Linked DNA regions of Macaca mulatta. The protein of the gene in region 1 interacts with the protein of each later gene in a biochemical or structural test. Links are inferred from orthologs where the notes say so. Each region holds a gene or a part of one and is shown on either strand. Other genes may lie near its edges.

Region 1 (3,511 bases):
GGCTGAGGCAGGCAGATCACCTGAGGTCAGGTGTTCGAGACCAGCCTGGTCAACATAGTAAAACCCCGTCTCTACTAAAAATACAAAAAAATTAGCCGGGTATGGTGGCAGGTGCCTGTTATCCCAGCTACTCAGGAGGATTGAGGCGGGAGAATTGCTTGAACCCAAGAGGTGGAGGTTGCATGAGCCAAGAATGCACTGTTGCACTCCAGCCTGGGCAACAAGAGTGAAACTCTGTCTCAAAGAAAAAGGAAAAAAAAAAACCAAAAACCAACTGTCTTCATTTAAAATATTAAATGTGTATATTTAAAGTGAGACTAAGGTGCAACATTTTTAGATAGTAATGAAGAAAAGCAGTAAATTTGTATTGTTGCTGCCTTGTTAAACATACTAGATAGCATATTGCTAATCTTTAAACATTCTCAATAATAGGATATATTTAGTTGTTCTGATTTTTAGCTTTTCTTTTGAAAGAAAATAAGAGGAAGTTTCATTTACTGCACAATTTTAAATGCTGCTTTGACGTATCAGAAGAAATATAATTTCCTTTATCCAGAATCCAAGTAGCTGGAAAAAAAAATCAAAATGTACTGAACATCTTTTTTTAAACCAGAAACCCATTTCCTATCATCTGTACAAGTAAAAGTTAAATATATCTCAATAACTTTGAAAAATTATTTTTTGATAATCCAGGAAGTATTAACAACTGTTTTAAAATTAAGATAACTAGTAATTTTTATTTTGCTTTCAAAAATAGGCACCTACATCATCATCTCTGCATACCTTTAGGAATTTACTAATTCTTATTTCCCTTCATCTGCACTTTAACACATGCAAAATTGAAGGTTAATATCTTATGATTTACTTGTTTATCCTTGACTACACAAATTTCCATTTTATTGATTTTCCCTGCCTTATTTAAGAATATGCTGTGATTAAAACAGACAAAAAGTTTTAGTATAATCCATATATATATATGGAATTCACCTTTTTGTTATTTAAATATTATTAGCTTATTTTCTTCTAATTCTAAGTAAAATACAGTTACTGGCTGAAATAATTGAAATAAGCAAAAAAAAATTTAAAGACTTGTAAACAAAGTTACTTTGTCAGGTACTGCTAAAAGATGCAATAAAATTTAAGACATAATATCCTTAAAGATCTTATTTTCTAGGGGGAAAAAAACTTTTAAGGTAAATTAGAATAAAAGATTTAAATGGCATTTTAAGGTACCAATAAGATGACACAAGGCTGTACATCATTAATTGCCAAATTATTTATGCAGGCCAGATTTCTGTGTTGGTCAATAGAGGTTTAAAGTGATGAACTTCTGTTGTGGTTTTTTATTAAGAAAGTATTATCTTATTAGAAGTGATTTTTTTAAGAACAGGCATTTTATAACATCAAAAGAAATCAGTAGTACTCTTCCCTATCCCCTCATATTTATTCTGAAAGTATTGAAGCATTATATTGTCATGTAAGAAAGTAGAGCTTCTCATGTTTGTATTGCTGTAGAAGTAAACATGTATTTGTGGTGTGTCATCAGGGAAGTTGCACTCTCCTTCTAAGAACTTTTGTTAAAGTAAATCTTGGAATAGGTAGCTCATTTGAAAAGTAGAAGAAATTAAGTCCATCTCTGAATTTTGTTTTTATATGTATGTACACATAAACTAAAAACATATTTAAAGCTAGTATTAGACTAGAAAAGAGGTTTTTTTACTTAAAAATTTAAGACAAAAGTAATTTATCTTAGATCTTGTGAGATTGTAGTTTTGGTTTAAAATTTGAGTGCCGAAAAATCATGTGAATGAAAATGCAACAGATAACTCAGATTGCCTTATAATAGTCTTTGTGTTTACCTTTATTCAAAATATCAAATGATAGTTTATTTTGTTGACATTTTGGCAAATGTTTAACGCAGGTGACATATTTTCTTTTTTAAAAAAATAAAACATCATTAATTAAAATATGTCATTTCATTTCTTTTTCTTTTTTTTTTTTTTTTTTTTTTAGGACAAAATGTTTCACTTTTGGGTAAATACATTCTTCATACCAGGACCAGAGGAAACCTCAGAAAAAGTAGAAAATGGAAGTCTATGTGATCAAGAAATTGATAGCATTTGCAGTATAGAGCGTGCAGATAATGACAAGGAATATCTAGTACTTACTTTAACAAAAAATGATCTTGACAAAGCAAATAAAGACAAAGCCAACCGATACTTTTCTCCAAATTTTAAGGTCAGTTAAATTAAACATTTTGTGGGGGTTGGTGACTTGTATGTGTGTGATGTGTGTTTAATTCTAGGAGTACAGCTGATGAAGAACTTGCTTGACAAGTTTTTAAATTATGTATTATTTAGAAGCTGTGTTTACATAGCAGTAACATGAAAGTTTCTAATAAAATACCCAATGTACATGGAGTCAAAAAAGCTGCAGTTTTCCTTTTCCCAATTCTTTGTTGTTGTTTGGTAAAATCTGGTGCAAAGGTGCGGGAGGGGGCTAAATGACTGGGATATGAAGTAGGAATGGGAGAGGAAAGAAATGGATGGAAACTCAGTCATTTGGGAATGATTGATATGGAATGTTTTTACTGCTTCCACTCCTGTCTCCCTTCCAATTTATTCTCAACCCCTCAGAGTGATCTTAAAAATAGACTTGATTGTGTCACTTCTGTTTACACTTTATAAAGACCTTGTGTTTTTTTTTTTTTTTTTACCATGACCTGCAAGGACCATCATAATTTAGCACAGGCCTACCTCCTACATCAGCACTAATCACCTTCTCTCTTTGCTTCTTGAGATTCAGTCATACTGGTCTCTTTTCAGTTCTTCAAAATGCTAAGCTTCTGCTTCTAGTCGTTCCAGTTCTTTTCCTTCTCCCGGTACCTTTTCATCTCAGCCTTTTCCCCCGACCTTCTCATAGCTATCTTCATATTTCCAGCCTTAGCTTCAATCTCATATTCTCTGAAGGTCTCTGATTGTCCTCCTGTTATTCTTTTTTTAAAAAATCCTATTTCCTTATATTGTGTCTTACAATTATTTGGTTTGTTTCATTTTTGTGTATATATGATATATGTATTTATACATAGGTATATATATCTACTTATAGACAATAATTGTTCAGATTTAAAAAATCTGATTTGTAAACATTCCCAAATGGTTTGCCTTTTTTTTCTTCCCCTTTCCTATTTCTTGTTCTACCTGATTTTCCCCTGTTCATTCACCACACTCTTTTCTTTCTCTTTTTTACTCTCTCTTAATTTGTCATTCAATTTTTATAACATGTAACAAATCTAACTGTAGCTTCTGAGTTTTTAAGAATATTGCTAGTAATACTTCACCTGTAATCCCAGCACTTTGGGAGGCTAAGGCAGGCAGAGCACTTGAGGCTAGGAGTTTAAGACCAGCCAGGCCAATATGGCGAAACCCTGTCTGCACTAAAAATACAAAAATTAGCTGGGCGTGGTGTCACACACCTGTAATCCCAGCACTTGGGAGGCTGAGGCACAAGA
Region 2 (3,974 bases), on another chromosome or scaffold:
GCAAAGTGCTCTTTCTCTTCAGGAGGGCTGCTCTGTAATAATAAGCACGAAGCAATTACATTCTGCCATGTGGTTATTAAATTTGGGGGAAACAAATATAATAAAATGTAGACATTTGTAGAGAGGTTGGAAATAAAATAAAAGTGGAGGATAAAAATAAAATCGATAACCACACGTTGCTAAGAGCCTAACCTGAAGGATGTTATGGGGGAGAAAGGAAGGCTGCCCTCCCCAAACTGCCCAAGCCTCCCCAAGAAGTGGCTGGTGCCTGGACTGGGGAATCTGCCCAGCAGGGGTTCAAGTCCTGAGTCCACCTCTCCCCTCTGGGGTGGTGGTGAGAGCTGGCAACAGCAGGAGAACTCCCACTGCTGCACCATCAGCCCTAGAGGTGAGACACTTAGCCAGGGGCAGCCCTGCCACAGCTGTTGGAAGTATTATTATTATTTTTGCTAGAGATGGGTGTGGGGGGGGGCCTTACTAGGTTGCCCAGGCTGGTCTCGAACTCCTGGCCTCAAGCGATCCACCGGCCTCGGCCTCCCCTAATGCTGGGGTTATAGGCGTGAGCCACCGCGCCCGGCCTTAACTTGCTTTCATTGTACACCAATTCCTAAAGGAACTGGAAGCAGCAGGCAGGAACGCTCCCTCTTACGGAAAGAAGATCCCAGGGCCCTGGTCATGACAGGTTCAGGTCCCAAAAAGGAGACTGGAAGAAGAAAACGTGAGGCGCCAGAACAAGAGGTTCTACAAGGTGCACACGACGGTCTCTGCCATTAAATGAAGAATTCTCTGTGCAGATGTCCCGTGCACAGGTCCAGTGAAAGCCGTGGAGAATAAGCGTTAGCTCTTCGAACTGAATCTGAACTAAAACCCAGCAAAGCCAGGCTAGGGTTGGGAGGTTGCGAGGGAAGACAGGAAGTGTGGATGGGGAAGAGGCGGGGGTCATAGAAGGAAGAGATGGGGAGCAGTGGGAGGAGGGAGTCGGAGGGAGGGCGGCAGCCAGGATGGTCCCTTCCATTCTTGGAGCTGCACTGTTGACCTCGACCACGAGGGGGCAGGGCTGCTGAAATTGGAAGTGCCAACGCCTACATGAGTCTTGACCCTCGGCAGGCACCGTATCCAGTTTCCTCCGTTGGGAGGGTTTAACTGCCCGGAAACGGAAGTCTCGTTCTTTTTCGTTCTTTTACTAGGTCGCTGCTGGCTGTGAGTGTCTCTAGAGTGGTACGCGGGTGAGAAGGGTAATCTGGGGCAATCCACGGCCAGGTGAAATCTGGGGACCCCAGGTCCACGTGGAGGGTGTCGGGGAGGAAAAGGGAGTGCGATGGGGGCGATATTTCGGGGGAGGGCGGGAAAGCGGGGTTGACTGCCATCCCCCGCGCCGTGTTAACGCCAAGGACTGTTTCCTGCAGGTCCCGGTCCGCGCCAGCTCCCTGCGCGCCTTGTCGCCATGGTGAGTACGGTCCCTGCCTGGCGCCTTCCCGGTGTGGGTTCGTGGGATCCGGGGCGAGGGCGAGAGAGCCTCCCCAGGGCCTCCGGAGGCCGGGAGGAGCTGGTGGACTGGACCGTCACCGGAAGACGTGTCTCTTTGCTGTCTGTTTACCCGCTTCCTTTGTGTTGCAGCCTCGGAAAATTGAGGAAATCAAGGACTTTCTGCTCACAGCCCGACGAAAGGATGCCAAATGTAAGTGGTTGCTCCGAAGGTTCAAGATGACCGGTGCCTACCCTGCCACCGCTCCGGTAGCGTCTTCCCCGGAATGGCTGGCAGGAGGCGGGTTAGGCTGTCTGGGCGTGTGCCTGGCCCTCTGGGACCAGTGGTTACATCGTATTTCCCATGAGAAAGACCTGTGTGGGGCACGTTGAGGCCCTGGAATTCTAGAACCATCTTAGCTAATCGCGAGCATCTCAGAGGCTGCCCAGAGTTCAGTTTTCTTTTGTATAATACATCAAATTTCTGCAGTTGTGCAAAATCTTAACACAAAACCCATTTTGTAATGAAGTGCTGGATACTTGCATGTAATGTGTTGAGCACGGCACACTGTGCAATATAGTCGTTTATATCGTGATCCTGTGGTCGATGGCCAGTGTCAGAAAGTGTCATACTTATCTAGCCCAGAAAAAGATTTTTTAAAAAAATTTTTTTCTTTTTTTTTTTTTGAGACAGTATGGCTCTGTGGCCCAGGCTGGATTGCAGTGGTGCGATCTTGGCTCACTGCAGTTGCCGCCTCCCACGTTCAAGCGATTCCCCTGCCTCAGTGTAGCTGGGATTACAGGCACGCGCCACCGCGCCTAGCTAATTTTTTGTGTTTTTAGTAGTGACGGTGTTTAACCACGTTGGCCAGGCTGGTCTCGAACTCCTAACCTCAGGTGATCCACCTGCCTCCACCTCCCAGAGTGCTGGGCTTACAGGCGTGAGCCACTGCGCCCAGCCAAGATCAAAGTTTGAAGCAGGGCTTCTACTGAATGCACATCGCATTCCCACCATTGTAAAGTCACAAAGGTTGAGTTGGACTGTGGTGAGGCTGTCTCCCAGCTTGTACATACAGGGGAAAGAAGGTGATTCATGAAAATCCTTGAACAGCAGATTTTCGATGGATAGGTGCCAATCTCTGCTACCCACTTACAGTTTTACACCAAGTGTGAGAGAGGTAGTTGTGTTATCCCTTTGTGATACTTGAAGATTTGGGGGCTTGTGTTTTTGTGTTTCATAGGTCTTGAGTTATGTTGTTACTTTAACCCAGAGTCATATTTTTTCAGCTGTATGAAAGAGAATCAGGTCACATGTGGAAGTGGGGTTGCATGGGACAGGCCTGTTAAGGTGGGCGAAGACACCAGCTAATGCTCCGTGCCCCAGTGATGGTGCCAGATGGTGGTTGGTGTACAGGGAGAGCCTTTCAGTGAGTTGGGGGTAGGCAGGGATGGGGGTCATATTTGTGTCCCCATTACCCAAAACAGGCTGTCACCTTTGAGGTGGTGACCACCTGTGGGAACAAATAGCATCTGGTGGGAATGATGTCTGTTTGCCAGTGTTTTGTATAAAGAGATGAGGTTATCAGGTTAGTTTTATTTCAGGCCATATGGGGTCGCTGCCTAGTTCAAAGCCCAACTCTACCAGTAGATAACTTACCCTTCTGAGCAAGTTAAACATGACACCACCCTTTGCTTGTGTTTAAAAAGGGTGGTGGTCCAGGCGTGATGGCTCATGCCTATAATTCCAGCACTTTGGGAGGCCAAAGCGGGCAGATCGTTTGAACCAAGAGTTCAAGACCAATCTGGGCAACATGGCAAAACCCCATTTCTACCAAAAATTTAAAAATTAACCGGTCATGGTGGCACACGCCTGCAGTCCCAGCTACTCAGGAGGCTGAGGCAGGAGAATCAGTTGGACCTGGGAGGTGGAGGTTGCAGTGAGCTGAGATCGTCCCACTGCACTCCATCCTGGGTGACAGAGCGAGACTGTCTCTCACAAAAAATTGGGAACCTGGATTTTAGATGATGCAGCTTTAAAGGTAGGGGTCACAGTCCCCTAGAGATAGTAAAGTGTCAGTAGCTGTTGAAAAAACTTTTGAAATTGTTATATTAATTTTTAATGTGTAATAGGCGTAGCATAAAATTCACCATTTACACTGGGTATGGTGGTTCCCATCTGTAATCCCAGCACTTTGGGAGGCTGAGGCAGATGGATGAGACTAGCCTGGGCATCATAGTGAGACCCTGTCTTTACAAAAGAAAAAAGTTAGCCAGGCATGTGCCTGTGGTCTTAGCTACTCAGGAGGCTGAGGTAGCGATTGCTTGAACCCAGGAGATTGAGGCTGCAGTGGGCCGTGATTATGCTGCTGCACTCCTGGCTGGACCACAAAGCATAATTGTACAGTTCAGTGGCATTCAGTAAATTCACATTGTTGGGAAGCTGCCACCATCACCACCCATCTCCAGAACTTTTATCTTCCCAAACTGAAACTCCCTCTGTTAAACACCAG

The links. The genes of interacting proteins can lie anywhere in the genome.
Region 2: the proteins of PTEN (region 1) and RPL38 form a complex in vitro, tested with the Homo sapiens proteins (2 studies listed by BioGRID). The link is inferred for Macaca mulatta from reciprocal best matches to the Homo sapiens genes PTEN and RPL38.

Annotation. Positions count from the first base shown.
Region 1 is NC_133414.1:100,034,665-100,038,175, forward strand, and holds part of PTEN (phosphatidylinositol 3,4,5-trisphosphate 3-phosphatase and dual-specificity protein phosphatase PTEN), read left to right. Parts: intron 1-2,013; coding exon 2,014-2,238; intron 2,239-3,511. UniProt on the Homo sapiens protein: Dual-specificity protein phosphatase, dephosphorylating tyrosine-, serine- and threonine-phosphorylated proteins.
Region 2 is NC_133421.1:83,872,140-83,876,113, forward strand, and holds the start of RPL38 (large ribosomal subunit protein eL38), read left to right. Parts: upstream 1-1,167; 5' UTR 1,168-1,235; exon of another isoform or gene 1,236-1,260; intron 1,261-1,406; 5' UTR 1,407-1,444; coding exon 1,445-1,447; intron 1,448-1,617; coding exon 1,618-1,678; intron 1,679-2,734; exon of another isoform or gene 2,735-3,640; intron 3,641-3,974.